Diceros bicornis minor: one gene and its partners. The protein of the gene in region 4 purifies or fractionates together with the protein of the main gene of each other region. This does not show direct contact. Links are inferred from orthologs where the notes say so. Each region holds a gene or a part of one and is shown on either strand. Other genes may lie near its edges. The genes, in order: ARHGAP5, FAM53C, PPP6R2 and PLK1.

Region 1 (7,277 bases), on a different chromosome or scaffold from region 4:
CTGGTGTACTTAAGGTATTTTACAAACATCTTTTAGGAACAAAGACTCTACTAAAACAGAACACTACACGATGCTTCTTAAGTCAATTACATTATTTCCATATCTTCTTGGTGTACAAAGAAAAAATCATGGATCTTACAGCCCAAATAAATAGTTTTTAAAATGTCATCTATGGAAACTGAAGTAGTGACAATTAAATCTTATTCTGTAGCTACCAAGAAAATCTCTATCACGCCATTTCATATTTAAGAAGTCAATACTAAAAGCAACACTTAAGTCTTGCTAACGTTGAAAAAGTGAAAGTTTAGTACAGTCTTCATGAGACATAACTTTTTCTTCAATTTAAAAAAGTGAGTTACAAAACTAGTATTCTAAGCTATATCACAACCTCAATTCCAAAAAAGGAATGCAAATACAGTATTTTATTCCCTAAAAAAATCTTAACTTTCAAGGTCAAAATAATTTATTTTCTCCAAAAGAGTAAATGTACTAAATCTACCACTCAGAAAAAAAAGGAATAGGCAGGAAGGATGGTTTCAAAATATTTAGATAAATACCATGTAACAGAGTTAAGATACTAATTTTGCATTTTTTTAAAATTGCTAAACTAATTTAAATGGGGGGTGTGCTAAAAACTAATAAACATATCATAATTCTGTGACAATTCTTTCTTATATCAAAGTGTAACCCACCCCATTCCCCAATGCTCTTATAATTAATGAACAAAGAATGGTAAAATAAGACACGCTGAGGGGGGGTTAAAAAACATAGCCTACACGTGACAACCAAATCAACTGTTAGCTAGTCCTCTGTATCGTTCTAATTTCTGCTTTACCTCAATCAGATCAATAGTGCTATTTCCTGAAAGTTAAATGCATAGATACACTCAGCTTTTCAATCATGTATGTTTAGTCATAAAGTACTCCAAGGCCTACTCAAATTGTTGGTGACCAGCACTCATTCACTCTCTTCCTCTGCTCTACTATAGGTACAAGAAATGTGGGTCAATTACAAAGAACAGATGAAAGAGCCAAAAACGAGAAGGCAACTTAAAATGGAAAACCTTAATCTAGAAACTGTCTAGTAGGTTACCGATATGGTCAGTATGTATATCTAAAAATACTAAATAAGAATAGAGTTTTATCATATTAAAGTAAAATAAACTGGAATTGACAGTAAAGCATCTCCAAACACATTTTACTAATATATCTTATTTGACCAAATATTTTTCAGAATAGTTGCATCTACATCAAATTTTTGTTAACCAGTTTAAATGACGACTTAGAGAAATATTCCCTGAAGTGAATGAGATTCTCAATGCAAAGAAACACCCTCCACTACCCTGTTCAAACCGAACGTTGGTTTTGGATTTGTTTTAAGCGGAGCCTGCATAAGCCCCCCACCCCTCCCGGGCCCAACACCTGTAGAAGGCAGCATAAGCAAAGACTAGTAAATACAGCGACGTATTTCACTGTTTTACACCTGAACATTTTTTCTGAATGATATCGTTTCCTCCCTATCGCAAAAGAAAAAGCAAATCATCTTTGGAAATTTAAACTTAAAAACGCGCGTACACACCATCTGCGTGCCTATTTTGGTCTACATTTAAAACATTTAAATTCCCATTTATTAAGCATGGGCCCAAGCTGGATTTCTATCATATGGTAAAAGTCTAAGCGTCTCCCCTGCAACTTTCTCGGAATTTTACTAAACGTCCTCCTCGCTCGCCCTGACTTCCGAGCACCTTCCAGCCTCGACTACACCCGGAGCCTCCACCTCCCCTGCATTTCTAATAACGCCGGGGAGGGCGGGGGCGAGGGAGTGAGTGGATTTGTGTGGATAAGTGCGCGCGCGCTCCCGCGCCGTTCCCCACCCCCACCCCCACCCCCACCCCGATACTTTTCTTTAGTGGAAACAGGGAGAACCTAGAGGTTATTCCAGCGAAAACTCCATATCAAAGCCCCAGCCCAGGCGCAGGCCGCCGACAGGACTCCGCGTCGGGGTTGCGCAGTGCAACTTCTCACCCCTACCCGAGCTGCAGCGGCAGATGGGAAACTGAAGGGAACGAGGGAGGCGCGGGGCAACGGGGGGAGAGTGAAAGGGCCGATCCGCCGAAAGGCGCTTAAGTTTGCAACCCAGATCGTGTTTCCGCGGGGAGGCGCCCACCCCTTCTCCCCCCGCCAGGTGGAACTCGTTAACGGCGGCCACCCGGCCAACGGACACCGCCACCGTCCTTCCCCACGTACCGCCCGCCACCAGGGCGAGAGCGGTCCCGGCCGCCAGGCCTCCGCCGCCCCCGACCCCGTCACCTGTGGGGAGAGCGCCCTCTCCCCGGCCTCTCTGCCCTTCACGCCGACCGTGTCCCCCGCGGCCGCCGCTGCCCGCCCGGCCTGCGAGGACGGAGCGCGGCGCCAGGCTCCCCCGGCGGCGGCGGCGGGGCCCCAGCCCTGAACTGGTTACAACCGGCGGCGGCGCCCGAGCGGGGCGGCGGGAGGGTCCCCAGCGGGGAGGGGGCGGGCGGGCAGGCCCCGAGGAGCTGCGGGCGCACGGTCCTACCTAACACCGCCGGTCTCCTCCGTCTCCTCCTCAACGGCAGCGGCCCCGGTGGTGGCGGTGGCGGCGGCAGCGACATTCCTGGGGAGCGCTCCCGCCGCCGCCGCCTCCTCCTCCACTCTCGGCTCGCCTCTTCCCCGGCGCGCTCACCGAGCGCCGCGTCCCTTCGGCCACCTCCCCCCGCCCTCCCCGACACACACGCCCCGAAACCTCAAGCCCTACGGCTCCCGCGGCCGGGTCACCCAACCTCCCCCCTCCCTCCCCACCACCAGCGGTGGCCCCGACCCTCCCCCCCTTCCCCAGCGCCCGCCGCCGCGCCGGGCTCAGTAATGGCGGCCACTCGGGCTCCCTCGGCTGACGGATCTCTCTCCCTCTCTCCCGAACTTTACCTCAGCATCTCTCCCGGCGCGCACCGCCGGGACGCACGCGCGCGCGCAGCCACACACCCGGCCGGGGGCGGAGCGGCGGGGCAGTCTCGACGGGGGCGCGCGCGCGCGCGCCCGCGCCGCCCTCCCCACAATCCCCCGCCCCCGCCGCCCTCACCTCGCGACGCCTCCCGCGCCGCGCGCCCGGCTGGGCCCCGCCCCTGCCCTCGTCTCCCGGGAGCCTGGGAAGGCGCGAGCGCCCGAGCCGGAGGGAGGGGAGCGAGCGCGCGGGCCCGCGGTCTCGCAGTCGGGCCGCCTCACCGATTGGCTTCTGCCCCTCCCCCTTCTTCCTCCGCCTCTCCCACCCATTGGTTCCCTCTCCTACTCCAGTCCTTCTCACCTTTTCCCTTTTACCCATTGGCGTGAGTATTTTTCCTCAGCTTTCTCCTTTCTCCGTGGTCTGCTCCTCCTCCGTCCCATCCTCCACGCCTTAGAGGCTGCAGACCGTGCAGCCCAGAGCACGGCCGTCTGCGAGCATTCCCTGATTTCTCCCTCTCCTTCGGTTCCGGTTTCTGGCCGTAACTGAGAGCAAACCACAAAACTGCAAAGGAACCTGATATGTATTGTGTTAGGCGTTGCGAAACATCGCAGGGGCACTCACTGATTCTCGAAAAATCACCCCACGGTCTCAGCGTTAAAGAATTCAAGGGAGGAAACCATGCGCCCAAGCTCGTTCGCAGGGACATGCTCGCGTGTGTGCTCCGGTGTGTGCGGCCAGTGTCCTGCGTGGGGATGCTCGCCAGCCACAGGCATCACCCGCCCGGGAGCCGGAGCCATGCGCACCCAGAAGGCAAAACTCCATGGGAGCAAGAAGAATCCATTTCTCCGTCGACACCACGCAGGGACGCAGGCAGGCCCTGGTTTATCCGTTCTTAGGGAAGTTGAACGAGATGCCAAGACTTGGGGAGGGTTTTAGGGTGACCCCAAAGACCCCTGCTCACACCACTACCAGCCCAACCTGAGGAACCACCAGCCACCTGGTTTTTATTATGCGGCTTTAAATATATTGAGTATTTTTTGAGCCTTCTAGAAATCTCACAAGTTTGGGGGTACCCTGGGCTTTCCGTGTATTTCTTGTCTGGGCATTGGCATTGATGAGCAAGAAAGGACAGTAGAAAAATGCCTTTCCTTTTACCATTGAAGAAACTGAGGTCTTGTGACTTTCCCAAGGTCATCAGAATCTGTCTTACACAGATGTCTTAAAATAGTTGCCAGCAGATGAAAGAATGGGCAAAAACATAAATCTACCCCCATTCGTTGCTAAGTCTAAAAGGAGGAAGTAATTTGAGGGAGAATTTCTCTTCCCGGCAAGGTTTGTTGCCTGCATTGAAAACAGTTCGTCATCAGTAAAGTTAACATATAAAAAGTCTTTGAAATTCAAGTTATTCTTTATTTCGTATGTTACATAAGGTAATGATATTAGCCAAGGTTGCTTTTTAGTGTTATAATGATGCAGCTGCTGCCAACCAGAAGTACAGTTACAGTCTGTTAGTAAAGAAGAACAAAAACTGCCTTTTGGTAAAAATCCGTTGGAAAATATTTGTCAGTAAATCTGTTACAATATTCCAGCAGAAGTTCTGTTTGTTTGTTCCACACCCCTACTCTCTACTCTCCATATTTCTCAAAGGTAAACTTAATAGAAGCAGAAGAGACATGATTAATTTCTCTATATGTCTTACTCCCTAATTTTAAAAAGGCATGACTAAAATTCCTTACTCCAGCCACTCTCTTGCATCTGAATGGTACCAAATACTGTATAGGTTGAGTAACATCTGTAGGTGCATCTTTCTTTCACTTACAAACCATAGGCAAAGAAGGACTCTAAGAAAACTTGCAATGATAGTAAATATAGAGGGGAGGAAAGGAAAAAAGGAGAGGAGGAAATTGGGGAGAGGGGTGGAACCATCAAAGTGTGGTCATAAAGTCATAAGTACCTATATCGCTTGTATAGGTTGGAGAGTTCATGCATTTAAATGAACTTCTTGACCTTTGTACTAAAAGTCCTTAAAAATACAAGCAGCCAATTCAGTCATAACTTTAGGGTGTCTACCCTAAAGATACTTTAAAAATTATTTCCTAAATAATCAGAAATTTCATAACCATGAGCATGCATCAACATAAACCAAAGTCAAATAAATCAGGACTTTTAAAGGACACATTAACATCTGAAGAACGTGTCATCTTTAAAACAGGACGTGATATTGAAGAATCAAGACACGATACTACTTGGAGTCTCATTTTCTCATAATAAAGACAACAGAAAATGTAAAAAAAAAAAAAAGCCACAGTTTTCAAATGATAATTTTCATAGCTGACGTTATTTTTAGCCCGCCTACATCATCTATCTTGATTTAAGGGGTCTAGAACCTTAGGACTTTGCTCTTTGTTAATATGAATAGTCTAAAGCTGCTTACCAGTACAAATAAGTTAACAAATTTTTATCATTTTTTGTTACTTGCTCTTCTCAAAAAATCATACAGTTTTCTGTACAAATAAAAATCTGAAAATGGGAATTGGGGGCCAAATGCTCAGATGGTTGAAAATGCTCTGATATCTACAAATAAGAAGCAATAAAGAGGGGCCAGCCCGGTGGCACAAGCGGTTAAGTGGGGGCGCTCTGCTGCGGCGGCCCGGCACCGATGCACCGCTTGTCAAGCCATGCTGTGGCGGCGTCCCATATAAAGTGGAGGAAGATGGGCATGAATGTTAGCCCAGGGCCAGTCTTCCTCAGCAAAAAAGAGGAGGATTGGCGTGGATGTTAGCTCAGGGCCAATCTTCCTCACAAAAAAAGCAATAAAGAGCAGAAAATAAAACAAAACCCAAAGCATAAGATGGCATTTTTAACAATTGATCGGGAGCCATGCCTTCAAAGAAACAGCTTTAAACACCCACCCTCCCTACCCAAAAGAAGAAATTTTGAGAAAATAAGTAATTTATTCTTTACATGCACACGCGCGCGCGCACACACACGAGAGATGGAGTAAATATTACCAAGCCCTCTCAGATCAACTACTCTTCTTATCTAAAATAAAAAATTTAAGCACTTTTTCTGCTGTACTGGATAATTAAAATCACCCGAAGCTTTGTTCTTCATTTACTTTGAAAAAAATAGCAGAATAAAATTTCAGTCAGGCATTTTAGGTTTTTAATTTAAATATTCTCTACAAACTTCTAGTTCTTTAACACGTCCTAATAAAGTATTAATATGCATGGTCTTTTTAGGGTCAAAAGAGAGGATAGCCACAAAAAATGTTATCAAAATTCCAGCTTCTACCATCAGTCGTTAACACTACAATATTCAGATGTTTGATGTGATTTGGCTTCAAAAGAACTTACCCTATAGAAGCGGCTACACCCCCTGCTGGAAATCTCTGATCATAACCACTTTGGCTTTTGTAGCCTCAACCAAGAACATATGAAAAGCCAAACAAAGGGCCTTTCAATTAAGGAGAAAATTGACCAATACTTTTTGCCCATCTGATATAAGGCAGACTTTTGGAGAACAAACTACCTCAGAATATCACCTTGATTGCAGACAAAATACACAAAGAAGTTGAGGAATAATGAAGGCAAATAACTAAATGACCAAAGCACAAAAAGATTATTTATTGTCTAATTTCCTATTGAATTTCACAACTCATTTCCACCCCCACCTAACCCCCACCTCCTGCCTAGACTTGCCTCTTTCTCCCAATCTCATACAGTTAGGCCTATTGGGAGGAGGGAAGGCAGAGTGAGATGGGTTGTTACTCCCACTTGTAGGCAAATCATGATGCACTAATAACCATGGTAGCCATTTGCTGAGTTAGGGTGCTGAAAAGCTTTCTCCAAATGTGTTTTATGGCTACCAATGATATTTTCAGCATGAAGAAAAAGTGCTAATTATGTCTTGGCTGTTACTGTAGAAAATATTTTGACAAGAGTGAAGGTAATTGTGAGCATGGGACTGGAGCAGTAGGATAGTAATGCATTGACCTTCCTGGCATTTTGTTCCACAGAGCCTTGTTCTGTTGATTTTCCAGAACTGTATTTTCAGACTGAAATCCCAAAGATGCTATCAGAGTCTAGCTTCAAAATGTCATGTTCATGCCGCTCTGGTCCTAGGACACTATTAAAATAGTGAAAGCAGAACTCTTCTATTTTTGAATAATTAGTATTTTATAAAGATTATTTGTAATGCAGACTCCTTTTAAAGGAATAACAATTCATTCAGGTCCCACCAGCACAAATACTTTAATTAGACAAAAATCTTCAAGTTATTTCCTCTCACAAAAGGAGGTATTGTTGGGCCATCTGGAC
Region 2 (7,548 bases), on a different chromosome or scaffold from region 4:
TCTAGCACCATTGGGACTTCCCTCTCCAGTCATGCCTGCTGAGTCTGCCAATTACAGAGGGACCAGCCCCAAGTGATATTAGAGATGTACCTGGTCCAGAGATGGAAAATGCATGGCATACATACCACAGCATCCCTATGCCAGGCCTCCGGCAGACATCATTAATTGATCACAGCTCTCTCCTGCTAAGCCTAAACATAGCTTCAGAAACATTCTGAACTTGGCACTCCAGATAACCACTAAAATGAACTGGAGTTGGCAAGCAAGTTGAAACCTATTTGCTGCTCCTAACCTGGTTCATGCTCTGCTCTGTCTACCCAGAATACCAGCACTTCAAAAACAGCTCAAATGAGAGAGAGGGATGCCCAAATGGTTACTTCTATCCTGATTAGCCCAATATTGTCTTTATCTTCCAGGCACAAGCAAACAGAGGTACCTTTTTCCTAAACTACAGAAATAGTAATAGGGAACAGGGAGGAGCAGTGGTTGTAGGAATGACTTTCAGCTTCAGACCAATCAGAGTAAACAAGGTTTTATGTTCTCTGTTAGCCTGAACAGTTGATATATTATTGTTTTCAAGAGATACTGTATATATTCTCTTAAAAATGGTGAGAGGATAAGGAAATGGTACCAGGGTAATTCCAGTTACATTTCAACTCCATAGATGTTAAAAACAACTCTATGACTTCACTCAACTAAGTTTTTAGCCTGATCTGACTCAAAGACCATGGATACAATTAATCAAGACTCTTTCTCACAGTCAATTACAGTAGAAGCAAACTACTTCTATCAGAGAACAGGCTTCAAGCCCACACAATTGCTTGAGGGGCCATGCTCAAGGGAGGAGGAGAGGTTAACCTAGTGTTTCGATATAGTATTGCCAATTCCCAGAAATTGGCAATGATCAGCAAGCAGACAGCTCACCAGAGAGTGTATGTAGCATTTGCTAGTAGAGAGAACAATCTATCAAGAAACCTAAATCTTGATCGGATTTGCTGTGACAGTTTTGTCAAATCATTTAACCTTTCTTGACCTGTTTACCCATATGTAGAATGGGCAGAATAATCTGTCACAGGGACAATAAAACATAAAATATCAAAATGTAAAAAGCATACCATCTGATCTGTACAAATCAGGAGTCCACACAAACTGCCATTTCTCAACCCTCCTGTTTGTTGCTCTACAAAGCCTCAGAATGCCACAAGTGATGCTATCATTAAGATGAAGAAGGCAGTCCAAGTTTATCTATTTGGCTAGATGCCCACCTCCCTGATCTGCATACCAAGAGAGACCCAAAAAGGCTCTTCTGTGACCTTGGGGGCAGATCACTTTCTACTTTTGCAAAAAGGAGGGATCATCTCTGCCCCATTCCCACCTCATGGGGAGGCAGGCCATAAGGAAGAGCAAAGAAATACACGTGGAGGTACTTGGAGTTTTTTTGAAAAAAGGTGTGAGAAAAGTCAATCATCATTACAGTTAACTACCATTGTCACGCATAATTATTATTACCACCCTGAACCAAGTTCCAGCTTCCTGAGAGCTCCCTTCAACTGCTTCCCCTATGTCCCTGTGGGAGAAGCTAAACCTTATATCACTTCTGCTCTTGGTTTCTTAACTCTGCCCTCAAAGAGCAACCAGAGAGGGAACCTAACTGCAGGCTTTTACCCCGGAGACCCTAGGCCTCAGGCTGACCAGCCATGAGCAGGGAGTGAAGCAAATTCTTTCAAGCTGTTCATGAGGCATTTGGCCAAACAGCAAACTCCCAGCTCTCTCTGGGATCAAGTGAAGAGAGTGATTTTGTATTTTTCTGCATTTTAATTGTTGGGATGTGGCCACACACGGTGGTAACTGGAACAATACAACTACCACCACACAACTCATACTCTCAGCCTGAGTTTCCTAAAACAGGCCAGGCTGAGAGGGGGAACAGAACGGAAGCCATAAGGAATCAAACCAGGACACAAAAGAAGGCAAACCAGCTCCGCGAGGGGCCTCCTCTTTCTCAGGCAAGCATAGAAAAAAGTGTAAGAAGCCCTCTCTTGCCGCCTTCCTTCCCCTTCCATTTTGTATATCTGAGGGGCAGAAACGGCCCTGAACATTCACTAAAAAGTTAAAACTTCTCAGCTCAACAACTGGCACCGGGCTCAGCCCTTCATAGAGCAGCAGGCCGCTAGGCCCTCCCCAAAACCCCACCAGGCCCAACTTTCAATCCAGGTTTTCTCTCCACCATTAGCCCCCTAAAATAAATATTGGGCTCCCACCCCATATCCTATTGGATGGCAGTAACTCCTGACATTCGGGTTTTAGGGATGCTGAGGCTGTGCTGAAAGCTGGAGAACCTAGGATCAAGTCAGGCCAAGGGGGAGGAGAGTCACAAATCCCCTGGGGACATTCCCCGCAGGTCCCAGCCCCACACCTCTGGGGGAGACTTAAGGAAAACATGAGGGAGGCAGGGAGGTGCAGGAACAGGTAAGTGGGGACCTGACTGCTCTTCCTCCATATGGCTCTGGCCGGGATAGGGGTGACAAGTGGGGAGCACTCCCTCCCCCCATCTCGATGAAGAAGCAAAAGGCTAGGCCCCCCTCCAATCTTCAACCTCACCCTCGGCTGCCCTGCCTGTCCCCGCGGGGTGGGGCATGGGGCGTCCGCTGGCCCCTGGGGCGGGGGGGGGGGGGCGGGCTAGGGCTCGCTCAATGAGGCTGTCGCTCGCCTCTTCCCAATCAGCTTTCATCATCTGGCCGCGGGAAGCGAACTCAGGACGCCGGCGATGAAGAGGGTCCGGGACTTAGCACTCCGCCACCCCCTCCCCCACCGGGTCCCGTGCTCTCCCCGCGGAGGCGGCCTGCGAGGCCGTGCCGCGCGGGCGGCCGGGCTGGGGGAGGGGAAAGGGGGAAGGAGGGAGGGACGGTTGAGGTGCCCGCCCCGAGGCCCCAGCGCCACCTGCCCTCCGCCACCTACCGCGGCTCCTCCAGCTCCCAGGGCCGCGGCCAGAGCAGCTCTGAGCGCTCCGTTCGCCCCACGGTGCCCTTAAAAGGCGCTGGCGCGAACCAACGGGCCCCTCAGGAGAGTGAGGCAGTCTCTCCGGTACACAGAATCCCCCCGAACCGCCCGCGGAGGCTCGAGCCCCGCGTCGTTTCTGTCTCAAAGTCTTTCTTGGATAGCGCTGTGGGGAACAAGCCCAGCTCTTTGATTTAGGGACGAGGGTGGTTTCCTCACTATCGAGTCACCCCCTCCAAAATATTGCAGAAGGTGGACGGGCCCAGTTGGAGACATGTCTCGAAACCCGCGGGGGGAGCCGTGTCGGACGAAGGTAAACAAAGCCATCGCCCCCGCCCTCCATTCCTACGTGGGCCAAAGTACAGCCCCCTGCTCGGTTCGGGTAGCATGATAGAATTAGCCAAGGTTCCTCTCACTGCTCTCCTGTCCCACCCTGTACGGCCGCCTCTCTAAAGGAATCCCCCTACCCCTAGCAGAGGACCTGTCCGCGGCGTGAAGGCTTCTGGGAAGTGTAGTCCAAGCGCCCATTAAGGCCTGCTCAGAGTCCCAGGAGCCCGTCTTCTAGCTGCCGGATCGGCTGGAACCTTATAAACGCAGGATTCATAACGGTTGCGGGGCCTTTCCCACTGGGTTCTGTAATTAGCCTTCACCCAAAACACTTTGTAAAGCTGAGGAGGGCCCAGGGCTGTTCACTCCTCCTCCCTCTACGCACCCCAACCCCCCTGCCCAGCAGGATGAGGTAATGGGATTGTGATTATGACATCATAGGCGGTTCAGTTGCTTGCGTGGGGGGGCGGGGCGGGAGGAATACGGTGGTTACAGCTGGACCTCTTTCGTTAAGACAGAAAGGGAGGGATGAAACAGGCAGATGGGGAAAAGATGTTGATGGCCCTATATTTCCTCTTCAGGAAGAAGAAACCACCTTTTATTAAATCTCCACTACTACCATCACCTCCCACCTCAGCCAGAGTTTAAGTCCTTTTTGAAGAGACTGAAGAAGTTAGTAGGTGAACAGGTTGGGGAACAGCTAGATGGTTTCTGGCTCTTATGTAAACTTGAGTCTCAGCTATCAAAGAAGGTTTAGAAAGACGGGCAAAAAGATGGAAAAAGGAGAGGTTTTAAACAATGCCTTCGTGTTGTGATCTCTTTGTAGGGCAGAGTTTTAGATTTCTTTTTTAATCGTTTGGAAAGTAGCAGTAATGCAAGTAATCTTCACTATTACACTTAGCAACAAGTCCCCTGAAAGACATCTGTTTTCCCTAAATATTTTGTTCCCCTTTCAAGTCTGGTACAGATAAGTAACTGATCAGCTAGAAAGTAGAGCCAGTGGTGGGAATCTTCCTCACAGAGCCAGGAGCCACCAAGTCTGCAAACTGAAAAAGAAGAGTAGAGGGAAAGTGAGGTAGTTATGAAGAAAATGGGGATGGAGGGAAGATGCACTGCACATTTCTTTGCCCTGCACATTGCCCTTTAGCAAAAGAAGGAGGGGGGGGGGGGCATGAAGTACAGGAGACATGGCTTCCAATAACTGCTGTTGTGGAGCATTTATGTGCCAGGCACCGTGCTACATACTTTAAATATATATGCTCATTTTTGCTTAGAATCATCAAATGAGACAAAATCTCCTTATTTGACAGATGAAATAGCTGGAGAGGTTAAGTGACTGCCCATGTGGTGGACAAAGGTAGTATTAAAAAGCAGTCTGAGGCTCTGAAAGACAAACACCGTATGATCTCACTCATATGTGGAATATAAACCAACACATGGACAGAGAAAACTGTATTGTGGTTACCAGGGGCAATGGGAGTAGGGGGTGGGCACAAGGGGTGAAGGGAGACATGTATATGGTGATCAACAAACAAAAATATACAACCAAAATTTCACAGGTATAAACTATTAAGACATCAATAAAATAAATTAAAAAAAAAACAGCAGTCAGGCTCTAAAGCTGTTGGTCTTCACTGCAAGGTGATCCCCCTTTTTATTATTAACCATGCCTACTAAAGTTAAATGATTGAGTATAAGAAGTTAGCATTGGCTTATTTGCAAAACATTGAAAGAAACTGAGACACTTAACCAAACCTGCAAGTCAGGTTTCAGGCCTCATTTCAAAGGAAGATTACACCCCTTTCACCAAGTATAAAATAGCCCCCAGTGCAGCCCAACCTCCTCCCCATTACTAACTATAATTAAATCTCCTTATGCCACTTTTAGTTCTCAAGGCTTTTCTTACTCATGTCCTAGCTATTTGTTCCTGCTGCCCCATTTTCCTTCTTTTGTTCTTGGGCTACTACCTTCCCCCCCCCCCCCCCGCAAAGCCCCAGTAGATAGTTGTATGTCATAGCTGCACATCCTTCTAGTTGCTGTATGTGGGACGCAGCCTCAGCATGGCCAGAGAAGTGGTGTGTCAGTGCACGCCCGGGATCCGAACCCGGGCCGCCAGCAGCGGAGCGCACGCACTTAACCGCTAAGCCGTGGGGCCGGCCCTTGGGCTACTACCTTGAACCACATCTTAATTGTGTCCTCATGGGCCAGACCCCGCTCTGATGCTGCTCCAATGGGTTTCAGCAGAGGACACTACCTGGGCTCCCTTCTGGTCTCCATCAAGATTCTCTGAGGGTTCCAGAGTCTGAAGCCAGTCATCCAGGAGGTCATCCAAAGGAGTGAAATCCATTTAAGAGACTCTCCATTCCCTGCCTAGGAAGGCAGCAGAGTCAGAGGAACACACACCTCCTTCAGACTCCCTTTTCAACCAGTGAAAGCTAAACGTCTGCAAAGTGGGGAGAGGTAGGGCTCAGTCCACCACTCACAGAAGGAACCAGGAATAATGCACACACCCCTCAGCCTCCCTCCCTGCAGAGGCTGGCTAGGGGGGTCCCAGGAATGTAGGGCTCTTCTCCACTGCCTGATCTGGGCATCCCAAGAGCAACAGCTGTACCTCCTGTTCTTGTTTGGCATTTGAGGGTGAAGTCCTGGCTGTCACTGTGCTCTGGCAATGACAAATATGTGTTAGACTGAGGTCAAGGTGAAGGGGCACAACACACTGCTTCATCACAATGAATCAGGAGACTCGTTAGGGAATTCCTTGAGAATGAGGTAGGATCAATGCCATCAATCCAACAGAAAAACCAAATCTTCAGATCATATTAAACACCAAACTTCCTAATTCCCTAATATTCTTTCTTCTGGGAAGGATAAATTAGATATTCCAACTCCCTCAGAAGTCAAGATAGATATATAAGACAGTATTTGATATCCCTTTAAAATGCATTCTACCTTTTCATATATTTAGTTTGAAGGTATGCATGTAAACTTACATGTAATTAGGCAAATATGTTGCAGTTAGCCAAGTCAGCTGGCGGCGTGAGATAAAAATGGTTAGAAGGAAAAAACTTCATTAGCAAACATGGATAAAGCTTTAAAAAGTCTTAAGGGCCAAGTATATGGCTTCTTCTATTTGAAAAAATCTTGGAAACTTATTTTGGGGGCTAAATTGCAGGAGAATTAGTTTTATTATTTTTTTGTGAGGAAGATCAGCCCTAAGCTAGCATCCATGCTAATCCTCCTCTTTTTGCTAAGGAAGACCAGCTCTGAGCTAACATCTATTGCCAATCCTCCTCCTTTTTTTCCCCATAGCCCCAGTAGATAGTTGTATGTCATAGTTGCACATCCTTCTAGTTGCTGTATGTGGCACGTGGCCTCAGCATGGCCGGAGAAGCGGTGCGTCGGTGCGCGCCCGGGACCCGAACCTGGGCTGCCAGTAGTGGAGCGTGTACACTTAACCGCTAAGCCACACGGCCGGCCCAGCAGGATAATTCGTATTAGTAATGCTGCAACTTTGTGAGAGCACTCAGATTCTAGTATCTTTCCATCACCTGACATTGAACCAAAGCTGCTTGGTTGATGCTCTTGTTGTGACCACTCACAACTGCACTCACTTGAGGACCTGCTGCAGAAAGCACTGGTAACCAGGTGTCCACTTGCCATAATCTATCTGCTTTTGCCGCCGTTGTAGGACGATTTCATCTGTCTCTACCTCCCACCTGCAAGGAAGTATACAGTGACCCCATGGAGTGTGATTATAATCATCAAAACAGAAGCCAACTCATCCCACACTCCCTTAATCCCCAGCCTGATTTTCGAACTCACCTGGCATGGCAGGGATCTGTGCTGATTCCCACATTCACCATCTCTATCCCAGAGGACAAAGATTCTTCACACCCCTTCTTTCTCAGGAAGCAAATTCCACAGATGAAAAGGGTAAAACCCAGCTGACTACACTGCACCTCTCAGCCACTACCACCACCAAGATCCTGACACCAAATAAAGGTTGTATTTCTGATTTTCTGTTTCTCAAAGATAAAGGTTGCACTTCTAATTTGTTTCTTAAAATTTGATCTGCAAGCCATCTGCATGAGTAGCCCCTGGGGGCCTTGATAATTCCTAGGCCCCACTCTAGACCCGTTGAATCATAATTTTGAGGGTCTGCATTTTAAAGAGCTTCCAAGGTTATTTTAAACATTTTTTATTACAGAAAATTTCAAATATACA
Region 3 (7,447 bases), on a different chromosome or scaffold from region 4:
GTCCCCTCAGCCTGGAAGGCTCTGACCCCTCATTCTTCTCATAGCTAGCTGCTTCTTGCCCTCCAGAGCTCAGCTAACATGAGAGTTAGAAGAACCAAAAGGGAAGAGAAATCAGAAAGGAAGGGACATGGAGAAGAGGTGAAAGGCTGAGAGTGTCAGTGATGGTCCAGGCACTAAAAGGCCAAGGGCGTGGCAGGGAGAAGCCATGGGGGAAGTGACTGGCAAGGTGAGAGTAACAGGCTAGAGAAGGCCACAAGGACAAGGCAGGTGGGTACAGTGACAAAATGGGGGAGGGGGGGCGGTGAGAGGCAGGAACTAAGCGCAAGTGACAGACTGGGTGAGCTGGTGGTGAGAGGACAGGGGATCTGTGGCAAATGGTAGTGGTCAGTAACAAGTGGGTGGACAAGGCAGGTAGGCTGCAAGGACACAAAGGTGGCAGGTGGGGGTGTGCGGAAGACGTCACAGCGACAGGTGGGGGGCATTCAAAGGGGCCAAGAAGGTGCACGGGGGAAGGTGACAGAATGGGGATAGGAACAGCAGTCAGTGAGTGGACAAGGGAGTGATGGCAGGAGGCCCTGCGGAGGGAGTGTCCTACACCCCACCGGCAGGAGCCGGCAGCACTGACGGGTGGGACAGAGCACTGACGGGTGGGTCAGAGCACTGACGGGTGGGTCAGAGCACTGACGGGCAGGGCCCCTAACAGACAGGGGTGAGGGAGGAGGCAGCGAGGAGGGGGATGGTGACACTGACAGGCTAGGGAGGACTGATGGGGGACCTCGACGGGCAAGGGGGGGGAACCGATGGGTGGACAGACAGGGTGGACAACGACATGGGGACCTGGCAGCACAGGGGGGAGGAGGGACATTAACAGGGAGGGCACTGAGAGTGAGGGTTACTGACAGAGAGGAGGGAGGACTGGACAGGGAGGAGGGGCACTGACACATGTGACACTGATAGGAAGGACGGCACTTAGGGGGTCACTAATGTGGGAAACACTTGACTGGGAGGAGGTGGGGGAGGGGGTGGACACTACCTTGGGGGACACGGGGGCAGCACTAACACGTGGGACACGGATGGGGTGGACATTGATGGGGCGGACACTGCCTTGGGGGGACAGGGGGGCAGCACTAACACGTGGGACACTGAGGAGGAGGGCACTGATGGGGCGGACGCTGATGGGGGGGCACTGAGGGGGCGGACACTAACGGGGAGGGTACTGAGGGGGTGGACACGGACAGGGGGCCACTGACGGGGCGGACACTGACGGAGGCACACTGACGGGGCGGACACTGACAGGGGGGCACTGACGGGGCAGACACTGACAAGGGGGCACTGAGGGGGTGGACACGGACGAGGGGGCACTGACGGGGCGGACAATGACGGGGGGACACAGACGGGGCGGACACTGACGGGGAGGGTACTGAGGGGGTGGACACGGACGAGAGGGCACTGACGAGGTGGACACTGATGGGGGGACAATGACGGGGCGGAGACTGACGGGGGGGCACTGACGGGGCAGACACTGACAAGGGGGCACTGAGGGGGTGGACACGGACGAGGGGGCACTGACGGGGCGGACAATGACGGGGGGACACAGATGGGGCGGACACAGACGGGGCGGACACTGACGGGGAGGGTACTGAGGGGGTGGACACGGACGAGAGGGCACTGACAGGGTGGACACTGATGGGGGGACAATGACGGGGCGGACACTGACGGGGGGGCACTGACGGGGCAGACACTGACGGGGGGCACTGATGGGGCGGACACTGACAGGGGGCACTGACGGGGTGGACACAGACGGGTGGGCGCTGAGGGGGTGGACAGGGATGGGGGGGCGCTGACGGCATGGACACTAACGGGGGGCGCTGACGGGGCAGAGCGCTGATGGGGTGGACACGGACGGGGGGGCGCTGACAAGGCGGAGCGGTGACGGGGTGGACACTGACGGGGGGGCGCTGATGGCATGGACACTGACAGGGGATGGACACTGAGGGGAAGGGGGCACTGACAGGGTGGGCACTGATGGGGTGGACACTGGTGGGGGGTGGACACAGAGGGGGTGTGGACACTGGTGAGGGGTGGACACAGAGTGGGGGTGGACACTGGTGAGGGGTGGACATTGGTGGGGGTGGACACTGAGTGGGGTGGACACTGGTGGGGGGTGGACACAGAGGGAGATGGGCACTGGTGGGGGTGGATGCTGGTGGGGGGGGTGGGCACTGAGGGAGTGGGCACTGAAGGGGTGGGCACTGAGGGGGGTGGACACTGAGGAAGGGTGGACACTGAGGGGGCGGGCACTGACGGGTGGGGGCACTGACAGAGGGCAGACACTGAGCAGGGGTGGACACTGGTGGCTGGTGGACACTGAGGGTGCTGGGCACTGGTGGGGGCAGACACCGGTGGGGGTGGACACTGGTGGGGGTGGACACTGATAAGGGGCGGACACTCGTGGGTGGTGGGCACTGACGGGGGAGTGGACACTGGTGGGGGTGGACACTCGTGGGGGTTGGACACTGAGGGGCAGTGGGCACGGGGAGTGGACGCTGGGGGGGGCAGACACTCGTGGGGGTGGACACTGATGGGGAAGTGGACACTGGTGGGGGGTGGACACTCGTGGGGGTTGGACACTGAGGGGGAGTGGGCACTGGGGAGGTGGACACTGAGGGGGAGTGGGCACTGCGGGGGGTGGACACTGGTGGGGGGCGGATACTGAGTTGGGGCGGACTCTGGTGGGGGGCGGACACTAAGGGGGTGGGCACTGAGGGGGGCACTGACGGAGGGGTGGGCTCTGGGGTGCACACTCCGGGGGCACCGACAGGCGCGGGCACGGTTTGAGGAGCCGCGGCGGGCGGCCTCACTCACCTGCCCCGCGGGCCCGGCGACGCGGCGGCTCCTCGGAGGCCCCGGTGGGGGCCAGGGCGCTGGCGGAGGCGAAGCCCGGGCGGCCTGGGGCGCCCCGCACGCACATGGGCCCGGCCGGGCGCGGCGCCCACGGACACGGCGCGGGCCGGCCGGCAGCTCGAGATCAGCTAGGGCCGCGGGCGGCGCTCGGGTCTCTCCAAAATGGCGGCGGCGGCCGGGCGCACGCGCGTGGGGGGCGGGGCATCGCGGGGGCGCGCTCGTTCGCGGGGGGCGCGGGGGCGCGCGCTCACGTGGACGCGCCCGGCGGCGGGAGCGCGAGGGCGTGGGCCGCCGGAGGGCGGAGTGGGGCGCGGTGTGGTTTTGTCCCTCTCCTTTTCCGTCTGAGGTGTTGCTGAGTTTCTACACAAGCGTAATTAACTTTCTGTAGGATGATGCGTTTGCAGTAGTAAAGTTTCCAATGCTACGTCAGTCACAGAACGGCCCCTCCAGAGACCCGAAAGGATTTGAGGATGCCACACCGGGGCAGGGGTCTCCCGGTTCTCTGGGGCCTTCCTCTCCGCCTGAAGACCCTCCCCCTGGCGCAGCTGGGTGTCTCCGAAGCTACTTGGGCTCGCGGCGTGGACACGGTGGGCAAGAGTGAACAGTGGTCAGCCCCCGTGTGCCAAGCGGAGGTCCCCCTCCACTCCTGCTTCCTAACTGGCCTGGGGGCGCCTGAGCAGCAGCCCCCAGACTTGTGTTTTCCAGGTGCCCCGCAGGTTCTTGCAGTGTTTTGCACATTAAAATATGTGCCCATTTAACATTTGTTGGAATTGTTTAATTCAATCAAACTAATCTCTAAAATGAGAATTATTTCAGGTGTCAGCGTGAACCGTGGGAAAATGTTGGAAAGAGAAGTCGAGCACTTAAGAAATACCTAATACTTGTGCTAGGTAGCAACTTGTTGCCTCTCAGCTGCCGGTGCACCGCGGCGCTCTGCGAAAACGGGTCTGGGCTCGCCTGTGCTCAACTGTGTCGGTAGGGGGCGCAGGAGAGGCGTCGCGGGAGGAAGGGTGTGTTCCGGGCCTCGCTCTGCAGTTTGCCCGTCTTCCTTCCCTGCATCCAGCTCCTGCAGCTTCCCCAGCTCTCCCTTGGGCAGCTTTATAGCAGAATGTCTCTGGTGAGGCATCTCTCCCTAAACACCTTTCCCTGGTATGCTGCAAGGCAGATTTCTGGCAAGTTCTATAGTGTGAACTTCCAGGAAGTGGTGGTAAAAAAGCATCAGCCTTAAACCGAGAAGAGGAATGTCCTGCAAGCCCTGCAATCGAAGGCCCCTCCCCACAGAAGCTGGGGGTGCCGTGGTTGAGCTGCAGAATGGGGGCTCAGGGCCAGGGGTCCTGTGCGGGAGATGTTCCCACTGGTTGTGCCGCTGTGTGAGCGCCTGCAACCCTCTGCCTGATCTTGATGCTCTTCCTGTGCTCCGGCCAGAGTGCCTGGGGTCAGCTGGGGCCCCACTCCTCCTCTCATCCCCCACACTGGATTCATCAGCAAGTCCCTCCACTTCTAAATATAGCCAGCTCTCCACCACCGCGCCCTGATCCAAGACCAGTTTCTCTCACCTGACACAACAGCAGCCTCCCAACGGGGCTCCCTGCTTCTACCCTGGCTACTTGCTGTAGGCCAGCTTGCTGTAACCAGCATAGCACCCAGAGGGATCCAGTGGAAAAAAGTTGGATCACATCCCTCCCCCAGGGCTCCCGTCTCACACAGCGCAAAGCCAAAGTCCTTGCTACTACTTACAAGGTCCCATGTGATCTGATCTCATTTCCCCTCCTCTGTCCCTTGTTTGTTGGCTCCAGTCATGATAACCTTGTCACAAGCCACTTGCCCATGCTGTCCCTGCGTCTGTCATGCTCTTCCTCTAGTTATGGCCGCACTTACTGACCTGCCTCCTGAATCTTACTCCACTGCCCCCTTCTCAGTGAGAGCTTCCTGGCCTCCCTATTTCAAATCTGAAGCCTACATTCATGCATGCACACACACACGTGTGCATGCACATGTGCAAACATGCATGCACACATGCAAACTTCATAGTCCCCTTCCCTGCTTGGTTTTTCCTTGTTGTATCAATAATCATGGTCCAATAAGGGGATAGAAACCACACAATGTCTTCAACAGAGGAATTTTCATATAGAAATTATTGAGAACAAGGGATTAATTGTAAAGGAGTAAAGAGAACTCTAGATTCAAGAAAGGACAAAAGTTGGAAGGTGGTCCCCTCCCCAAGGTGGGAGTTCATTCTGTGTTGGAGAGTTGTGTGGCTGCAGCCCAGCGGTCGACATAGACATTCTCTGGGGTGTCCCAGGACACAGCTGATCCATAGTCCCTGAGCAGAGACTAATGGGCAGGAATACACCCCTCCAAGGTGCATGCTGGCTAAGCCTGGAAAACTTCCTGCTGAAGTGTCTGCAAGACTCACTGGGAATCCACCCATGGGGGTGCTGCTGAAACTCAGTGAGAAACCATCCAGAGAGGTGGCACCGCTGCATGTCTTCCACATGTGACTCTGACAGCTGTGCAGTAGGAACAAGAAGAGAAAGGATGCACATCGAAACCAGAAGTCCCTTCTTCCAGCAGTGACCCTCCGGCACTCTGTACTGGCAAAGCTTAACATTGTGCCAACTGCAAAAGAGAAATGCTTACAGGATCCAGCTCCATTATCACAGTGCAGGTAAAGAGAAGTGGATTTGGATCTGAGGCAATCAGTGGAAAACAGGCAGAGTTTGACTCTCTGGGTAGTCAGCTTCTGTACGCATCCTTTCAAACATATTTGAACTTCCATACTATAAGAAAACAATGCTATATTTTCACCTAACACGATACATCCATCCTTATTGCAAGTGAAGAAATTCTCACTCTTTCCCCAAAGGCAGCATATTCACAGTCCCATCAGTCATTGAATCTATCATTGGCTACATTAATTACCCCTCAAATTCTGTCACTGTTCCACTGAATATTCTCTTATGCTCTTATGTTAAAACTAAATAGGAAAGTTAACCTCTGACAACTTGTATATTTAAAAAAAATGGAAAGCAGAGAGAAGAAAATGGTGCATATATACAAATAAACACACACTATAACATGCAAAGAGAAAATGCGCAAAACTGCTACAACCTATGTTTCTGTAATTGGTCACAAGATGTAGTTGATACATGTGGCTTTTTAACAGATTTCTCTTCTAAACTCTCTTCTAGTGTACACAGAACAGTTAGAACAAGCTGAATTCAGTATTTCTGACACAGAAGGACTAAGTAAAATAAATTCTATCACTAAGAACCCCAAATGCAAAATTATTGACCAATAAATTGGAAAAAGTGAAACTGTGATGTAAAATGAGTGCTGCCTCTGGAGTGCCGTCAGAGCAGGAGGAACTGTGGCTCTGTCCTGGTCTTCTCAAGAACCCCACAGTGCAGCAAGACACAGGACAGGGCATCCAAAGACCACCACTCTGTGAACCCAAGTAGGACAAACACAGAGAAATCCACACCCATAGACACCATAACCACAGCGCAGCGTGTCAGAGACAGAAAGAAAACCACAAAAGTAGCAGGAGAAAAATGACCCATCACATAAAGGGGACAATGGTACAATTAATAGCTGACGTCTCATCAAGACAATGGAGTCCATAAGGCAGTAAAATGGCTGAAGGAAAAATAAAACCTGTCAATGAAAACTTCTACACCCAGCAATACTATCCTTCAAAAATGAAGGTGAGATAAAAATATTCCCAGATAAACAAAACAGAAGATTCATTGCCAGCAGATCTGCCTTGCCACAAATACTAAAGAGATTTCTTCAAGCTGAAATGAAATCACATCAGATGTTCACTCAAATCAACAGGAATGAATGAAGAACCATATTCAGCAACATGTAAAAAGGATCATCTATTGAGACCAATGGGGTTTATCCCAGGAATGCAAAGTTTTTTTAGCATCCAAAACAGAATTAATGTAATACACTATATTAATAGAGTAGAGGATAAAAACCACTGGATTTGTCTGATAGTTGCAGAAAAGGCATGTGGCTAAATTTAATACCTATTTATGATAAGTACTCTCAATAAAGTAGGAAAAGATGGGAAATTCCTCAATTTCATAAAAGATATCTAGGAAAAATCTATACTAACATTGAACTTAATGGTGAAAGATTTAATGCTTTTCCACAAAGATGTGAACGAGGCAAGGATGTCTGCTTTCACCATTTCAATTCTACATTGTAGAATTCCACATGTAAGGAGCTTGGGCATCACCACTCCATCCTAAGAACTAAAATGCTGAACAGATTGAAAAATCAGCAACTGTTCTTGGATTTGTAAGAGAAGAGAGGACACTGGGCAAACCACTGCTCCCAAGATTGGAGAAACAAACAGGTGGATACAAGTCACCAGGCTTACCAAGCAAAGATTCACAGGCAGGAACTGCCAGGGGAACCTGTGCCAGCTGGGTTCCCTGAACTGTATTTGATGAATTTCTGGAGGCTCAGAGTGCGCAATGCTGAGAGTGAAAAACTCTGGGGTGACCCAGTCATAAGGACCCCCCACACAATA
Region 4 (7,034 bases):
AAGCCTATGCCCACCACCCACGCCCTCTGATGGCCTCCATCCACAGACCACAGACACCTCCTGCTGCCGGCCGTAACTCCCAGCCTAATTCCTGCCACCCAATGCTGCTTTCTAGACCAGGGGTTCTAAAATTTATCGTGTACAAGAATGAACCAGAGATATTTTGAAATCCAGATTGTGATCCAGTAGTCCGGGTCCCGAGATTCTGCATTTCTAACAAGTTCCCAGGGGATGATGCTGCTGGTCTGGGGACCACACTATGAGTAGCCCGGGGCTAGAGCAAGTTTGAGGAGACCTTCCCTCCCCCTTCCCCGGACCCATGGCCCAGGCTGCAGGAATCCTATAGGATAGGCCAGTGACAAGGAAAGAAATGGAAATTAGGCTTTATTTTTGGGCAGCCTGTCCTCTGGAGCAGCCTTTCCCTAGGCAGAAAGGTCCACAGGCTAAGGTCAGCCAGGTGAGATGTCCAAAAGGGCCGAGTGGGTCCTGAGACAACCCCCAACTTACATGATGCACCCAATGGACCACACGTCCACCTCGAAACTGTGCCCTTTCTTGCTCAGCACCTCAGGAGCTATGTAATTAGGAGTCCCACACAGGGTCTTCTTCCGCTCCCCGTCATATTCCACTTTGGTTGCCAGTCCAAAATCCCCTGAGACAGAGGAAGCAAGAGGGGGTATCAGATGCTAGCCTCTGTCATCTGTCAGTGCAGACATCTGGTTCAGGTCTGACCATCAAGAACCAGGGTCGCTTGAACCCTCAAGCCTCTATTCCTTGTGCACAGCAAGGCTTGCCCAGGAATCCCCCCACCATGCTGGCCCCAGGGAAGGGCCTCCCAGTGACCCTCCTCACCCCTGACCTTAGAAAGGAGGGCTAGGCTTCTAAAAGGGACTTGATGGGGATAGCAGAACTCAGACGCCTTCAGGGATCAAGCAAGTAAACTTCAAGACTGTTATCTGGCAAGTTTGTGAGGAAGTAATAGGGAGGAGTGGGGACTGTGGCAAACCAGAGGGAGTCTAAAGGGAACAGCTGCTTTTCAGCCCAGCAAAGAGCTGCCCTGAGGGAATGTTGGCCCTGTATTGCTGGAGCTTCCAGTTGTTTAAAAGGAACTCCAAATCCAAGGTTTTATGTCAAGACTAATTTAAAAAATGGAAACTAATTCAAATCCTTTTAAAAAAAATACCGTGTAGGGGCACAAAATCATGCATCTGCAGGCAAGATACTGGCTTGTGAGCTCTTTGTTTTAAATGTCCGCCCTACAGAGAGGACTCCAGAGGCAATCAACAGCTCAGACTTTCCACCACCCTCTACCTCCTCCGTCCTCTCCTTCCTATTTCCTCCCTCCCGGCCTCCTCCTCATTCCCACTTCTCCTAGTGGTGTCAAGCACCCGTGCAGGCCCAACACCTCACCTATTTTCACCTCCAGATCCTCGTTCAGGAAGAGGTTGCCCAGCTTGAGGTCCCGGTGAATAACCCGGTTGCGGTGCAGGTACTGGCAGCCAAGGACGATCTGCCGCAGGTAGTAGCGGGCCTCGGGCTCAGTCAGGGCTTTCCTCCGCTTGTGCAGCTCCAGGAGAGACTGGGCGGGGGAGGAGAGGAGGAATGCGGAGTCGGTACTGAGGCCCGAGGGGAGACGGGGTGTCATTAGGTAAAGACAGCTAGGACATTCCCCCAATTCCTTCTCCAGGACAACTGCGATCTGGGCCCTCCCCTAATCCTGGCCACCATCGTTCATAGCACCCCCTCTCCTACTAGCTCCCTCTCAAGCCCCTCACCTGGGACTCCTCTCCCAGCCCCACTCCGGAAGCTCAGCGTTCTCAATATCCCCTCCCCCGGCCTCTTGGCAGCAGCAGATCCCTTTCCCGACCCCTCTTCCCCGGAAGCTCCGAGGTCTGGCTCCAACCACCCTCTGCCTGACCCAACCCCACTCCGGAAGCTCCGGGTCCACAGCACCCCTTACCCGGGACTCCTCCCTTAGCAACTCCGGAAGCCCGGGGTCCATTACCAGGGTCCTACCCCGGCCCGCGCCGCCCCCACCCCCACCCCTCTGCCGCACACCTAGGGTCCAGGAGCCGCCTTCCCTAGCAGAAACAGGACTCGGGCTCCACTTAACCGGACCTCGCCTCCACCCTCCCCGCCCCCAGCAGCTCTGAGTGCCCAGCACCCTCTACCCGAGACCTTTTCCATCCCTAGCTCGAGGTTCCCAGCACCGCCACTCCAGCAGCTCCGGGCCCCGGGCGCCCCAACCCCGGCCCCCAGGCAGCTCCGGTCTCCCAGGAGCGACACTCACTCTCCGGCGGCAGAGCTCCAACACCACGAACACGAAGTCGCTGTCCTCGAAAAAGCCGTGGAAGCCCACGATGTGCTGGTGGGCGAGGCTGCGGTGAATGGATATCTCCATGGACATCTTCTCTTTCTGGTGTGGCTTGAGCAGCAGCGACTTAGGCACGATCTTGCCCGCGAACACATCCTTAGTGTCCGCGTCCGAGATCTCGAAGCACTTGGCAAAGCCGCCTTTCCCCAGAAAGCGTCCCCGCAGATAGCGCCGGCGACTGCGCGGGTCCACTAGGACCTCCGGGATCTCTTTCGCCGGCGGGGCGGCCGCCGGGGCCCCGGGAGCCGCAGCGCCGGGGACCCCGGCTTTCCCTGGGTCGGCTGGTGCCCGCGCCAGCTTCCCTGCAGTTGCCGCCGCACTCATGTTCCCCGAGTTGCTCCGCGGACCTAGTAGGGTCTGGGCAAATGCTTGGCACCGCTGCGCTCCTCCTCGAATTCAAACGCGGCGCCGGGAACGTTACAGGAGCCTGCGCGCCACTGATTGGCCGCGGGGATTTAAAATCCAAACCCGCCCGCCGCGCGGCACTATGGGAGCGCTCTACACCGCAGCCGCCTTTAAACCCGTTCCCAGCCGGGGAAAAACACTTGATTGACAGGCGCTCGCGGACGGCAGACACGTGGGATGCCTGGGAAACAGTACCCGGCGTGGGGAAGCCGAGCCCCAGGCCGAGGAGAGGAGACAACTTGCAGTTCACATGCACCGCCTCCAGGAAGCTTTTCCCAACACCTCCCTCCAGCCCCACCCCGCCTTCTGGAATATAAACTCGGAGAAGGGAGACCTGGTAGCGCCGAGAGCGAGCTTGGGAGAGCCTTAGCACCCGCCTCCGATGTCATCAGCTCTCTTCCAAGTCACTCCAATAAAGTAAAATCTAAGTAAAACCAGGATGCTTGCCGGGCAAATGCACCTGCACTGCAAGCCTGCTACTCCCCTCCTTCACATGACAGCTGCTCCTGAGCCTCTCTGGGTTGCAGAGCAACGCTGCTCAGAGGAGGTTCCAGGGACCACCAGCATCACCGCCACCTGGGAGCTTGTTAGAAAGGCGGAATTTCAGGCCTTACCGCAGACCTGCCCAGTCAGAATCTGCCTTTCCACGGGGCTGCCCAGGTGATTCCCACACACACGGCAGTTTGAGAAGCACAGTAGGAGAGCCCCCCACTATGCAAGAAAGTGAGTCGTCTGGCTTGCTCACTGCTGTATTCCCCAGTGCCTGAAAATGTGGACCCTCAATTGTTTGCTCAGAGGGAGGATGGCTAGGGGGCAGAATGCCTGGCAAAGGGGAAGTCCAGGGCCAAATCTGTCCTGCAGGGGTGTTTTGTCAGGCTTCCCACTTTTTAAAATTTGGATTCATTCACAACACTTAGAAATCAAGGGGGTTCACATAAAAATTCAGACTTGTAGCTTTTCCTGAAAAAACTAGAGGCTCTGGCAACTCTCCGCCTACATACCTCCCCAGTGTGCCTCAGGTCCCAGCTATCCCCTTTGCCCATTGCCTATCTGGCAAAATAGAAGCCCTTTCTCTGCGCCCCCATACGTCGCACCTTGTGATGTCTTTGATAGAGCCAGCAGAAACCAACCACACCGTAAAGGTCTCTACCTGCTTCCCAATAAACAGAGGCAAGGACATGTTTCCTCCCCACGTCCAAGCTCCCAGCGCAATGCCTGGTAAAAAGGGTTAATGAACATGTCTGCTGAATAAAAGGAAGTTGTTGTTTTTTTAACTACATTTGTATTTTTTATCCCTGTGGTGTGTAATCTTCTGTTTTATCTTTTTTTTTTTTTTTTTTTTGTGAGGAGATCAGCCCTGTGCTAACATCCACCAATCCTCCTCTTTTTTTGCTGAAGAGGACGGCCCTGGGCTAACATCCGTGCCCATCCTCCTCCACTTTATATGGGATGCCGCCACAGCATGGCTTGCCAAAGCAGTGCGTCGGTGCGCACCCGGGATCCGAACCAGCGAACCCCGGGCCGCCGCAGCGGAGCGCCGCACCCAACCGCTTGCGCCACCGGGCCGGCCCCTGTTTTATCTTTTTATCGAAGTTGAATCTGTGTACAGAAAAAGTGTACATACCATAATTGTAGAGCTCAGTGAATTTTCACAAACTGAACACACCCCGTGTCAGCGCACCCAGACTACCAACACCCCAGAAGTCCCCTTGTTCCCTGCGTGGGGGCCCAGTTCCATGATTCACTAGGAGACTCACAGGACTCAGCATCTAGTCCCACTCACGGCCAGCTAGGACGCATTACAGCTACAGGCTACGGAGCACAAGCACAGGGGGCAAAGGCGCATGGGGCCACGTCCAGAGGAAACCAGGCACAAGCTCCCAGAGTCCTCTCCCAGTGGACTCACACAGGACACCCTTCACTCCTCCAGCAATGAGTTGTGACCACACATGCAACATATTATCTACCAGGGAAGCTCATTAGAGACTCAGTGTCCAGGGTTTTCACTGGGGACTGGTCACACAGGCACCCTCTGCCAAGCACACAACCAAATTCCGGATTCCCAGAAGGAAAGCAGGTATTTGGCATAAACCACATTGTTTGCACAAACAGTTTAGGCACAGTGAGCCACGCTTATCATTCAGGGAATGGTGAGAACCCTCCCCAAATCCAAGCTTCCAGTCGCCAGCCAGGGGCCAACCTTGCAGACAGACCTTTCCAAGGAGAGCAGTCTCAGGCCTGCTTGATCACCTCTTCTCTGTACAGTCCACACCCCTGGCCCTTGGCTATGCTTCTTTACAGCAAATCACGATCAGTAGGACCCCACACAAAACGGTGAGACCAACCTGCAGTACTGATCTCAGTTACACCTGTTAGGGTCCTGGATTTAGCCAGCTACAATAAATCCCAATAACTATAGAAGTCTATCTTAGAAAGCCAAGTGGTCTCCTCCTCAGTTTCTGTATGACTCGTTTTCACCCAAGGCATCAATCAGGTACAGCACAGCTGCGGCCGGTACATTCAAGCTGACCTGAAACCTTCCAGGGCAGAGGCAGTGTGGCGACAGGGCACACAGACAGAAGTGCAATGCCAGAGGGTACACGTGGTTCCCCTGGAAATGAGTTTGCAGTGTTAGGGTACCCCAAGGGGGACATACACTAGTCAGGCAGTAGGGGTTAACAGGGCCCCCAGTGTAGCCTCCTACCATGGGGCCTCTTGCCCTCGAGTTTCCAGTCCAGTCCAAAAATCCATGCAATCCTTGGTTTCTGAGGGACTGCCTGAAGAGAGTTGATTCCAGAGAGATTTGCTTGTCCATGATACAAGTCTATCCACCTCATGAGGGTGCACAACACTTGAAGGAGTTCCGCATGGCAAGGGCAGGAGCTGGGCCCCCTCTGTTGTCACACAGTTAGAGCTGCCAGGTGCGATCCCAGGCTCCACACTCTGAACTCAAAAGCACTCCCAGCGCATGCTCCCAGAGGCAGCACTGGGCGTTTCCCCCAGGAAGAGGGGAAAGCTTCCAGGAAGAGTTCTGAAAAACAGATCATAAATGCCCCCCCTTCCCCAAGGCTCCCCAGGTGCCAAGTTTTTACTTTTTCTCCATTGATACAAAATCAGTGTGCCCCACTGATCAGCAATCCTAACTTGACACTTTTTCCATCACCTCTTACTCTCATCCAGGCCTTTCATCTGGAAGGGTTGTATGCAAGAGGCACAAAAGTATTTCTGTAGATAAACATTTTTATACAATGTAACCAGAAAGACACATTCAGGAATTGGTCAGGATGTGTTAAGGGCTGAATTGTGTTCCCCCAAAATTCATATGTTGAAGCCCTAACCCCCAGTACCTCAGACTGTGACTGTATTTGGAGACAGGGCTTTTAAAGAGGTGATTAAGGTAAAATGGGGTCGTTGGGGTGGGCCCTAATCCAATATGACTGGTGTCCTTATAAGAAGAGATTAGGACACAGACTACTCAGACGGAGGGGCGACCATCTGCAAGCCAGTGAGAGAGGCCCCAGGAGAAACCAACTCTGGTGACACCTTGATTGGACTTCTGGCCTCCAGAACTGTGAGAAAATAAATTTCTACTGTTTAAGCCACTCAGTCTGTGGTATTTCGTTATGGCAGCCCTAGCAGCCTAATAGAGGATGAAATTTTGAATTTTCAAACATTTCAAAATGGGTTTACAGAACCTCCTACCCTTTTTATCCAGAGAGCAGCTTAGAAAAGATCAAGCCCTCTCTAGAGACAGCTACATTTGAATAATCAACCTACCTTACCTTCGTGTCTGTGCTGGGGGAAATGTGAGGCGGCAGAGTCAGGCTATCAGCCCACTGTGGCAAGTTGCAATGAATCCAGAAAGCCAGACACAAGTCAACAGCGGTGAGATGTCCCCCAGAGAAGGCCCAGAAGGTCTGATTTGTCAAAAGCAGGCGGAGGGTCACAGTCCCTGTGACTGCCCTCCCCCAGCCTGCAGCTTTCCACGGGGATCACAAGTTAGGATGCAATTAGCCTCTGCATCAGAGATAAAGAGCTGATCAGTAGCTTGCTATCAGACGGTCCCATCAGAGAACAGGCCCTTTCCTGTGGACATTTGTATGTGACCCAGATGGTCCAGCCAGCATCCACGAGGTATGCTTCCATAATTGAGAGCTCCACAGAAGGGGTCCTAAATCTTCAGGGGTCCCAGGGTCTGAGTCCTGTTCATGGAGCCTGTCTCTGCTTTCAGTTCAGCACAGCTCCTGTGGAGGCT

What was found.
Region 1: the proteins of PLK1 (region 4) and ARHGAP5 purify together in Homo sapiens (affinity purification with mass spectrometry; 3 studies listed by BioGRID and IntAct, counting the BioPlex papers as one, with this or other methods). This does not show direct contact. The link is inferred for Diceros bicornis minor from reciprocal best matches to the Homo sapiens genes PLK1 and ARHGAP5.
Region 2: the proteins of PLK1 (region 4) and FAM53C purify together in Homo sapiens (affinity purification with mass spectrometry; 3 studies listed by BioGRID and IntAct, counting the BioPlex papers as one, with this or other methods). This does not show direct contact. The link is inferred for Diceros bicornis minor from reciprocal best matches to the Homo sapiens genes PLK1 and FAM53C.
Region 3: the proteins of PLK1 (region 4) and PPP6R2 purify together in Homo sapiens (affinity purification with mass spectrometry; 7 studies listed by BioGRID and IntAct, counting the BioPlex papers as one, with this or other methods). This does not show direct contact. The link is inferred for Diceros bicornis minor from reciprocal best matches to the Homo sapiens genes PLK1 and PPP6R2.

The regions. Positions count from the first base shown.
Region 1 is NC_080744.1:16,893,172-16,900,448, forward strand, and holds the start of ARHGAP5 (rho GTPase-activating protein 5), read right to left. Parts: upstream 3,004-7,277; 5' UTR 2,943-3,003; intron 2,645-2,942; exon of another isoform or gene 2,557-2,644; intron 1-2,556. UniProt on the Homo sapiens protein: GTPase-activating protein for Rho family members.
Region 2 is NC_080740.1:56,907,275-56,914,822, reverse strand, and holds the start of FAM53C (protein FAM53C), read right to left. Parts: upstream 3,017-7,548; 5' UTR 2,959-3,016; intron 2,574-2,958; exon of another isoform or gene 45-2,573; 5' UTR 1-44.
Region 3 is NC_080764.1:452,137-459,583, forward strand, and holds the start of PPP6R2 (serine/threonine-protein phosphatase 6 regulatory subunit 2), read right to left. Parts: upstream 3,001-7,447; 5' UTR 2,866-3,000; intron 1-2,865. UniProt on the Homo sapiens protein: Regulatory subunit of protein phosphatase 6 (PP6). May function as a scaffolding PP6 subunit. Involved in the PP6-mediated dephosphorylation of NFKBIE opposing its degradation in response to TNF-alpha.
Region 4 is NC_080765.1:28,067,789-28,074,822, forward strand, and holds the start of PLK1 (serine/threonine-protein kinase PLK1), read right to left. Parts: upstream 3,003-7,034; 5' UTR 2,699-3,002; coding exon 2,291-2,698; intron 1,580-2,290; coding exon 1,411-1,579; intron 653-1,410; coding exon 508-652; intron 1-507. UniProt on the Homo sapiens protein: Serine/threonine-protein kinase that performs several important functions throughout M phase of the cell cycle, including the regulation of centrosome maturation and spindle assembly, the removal of cohesins from chromosome arms, the inactivation of anaphase-promoting complex/cyclosome (APC/C) inhibitors, and the regulation of mitotic exit and cytokinesis.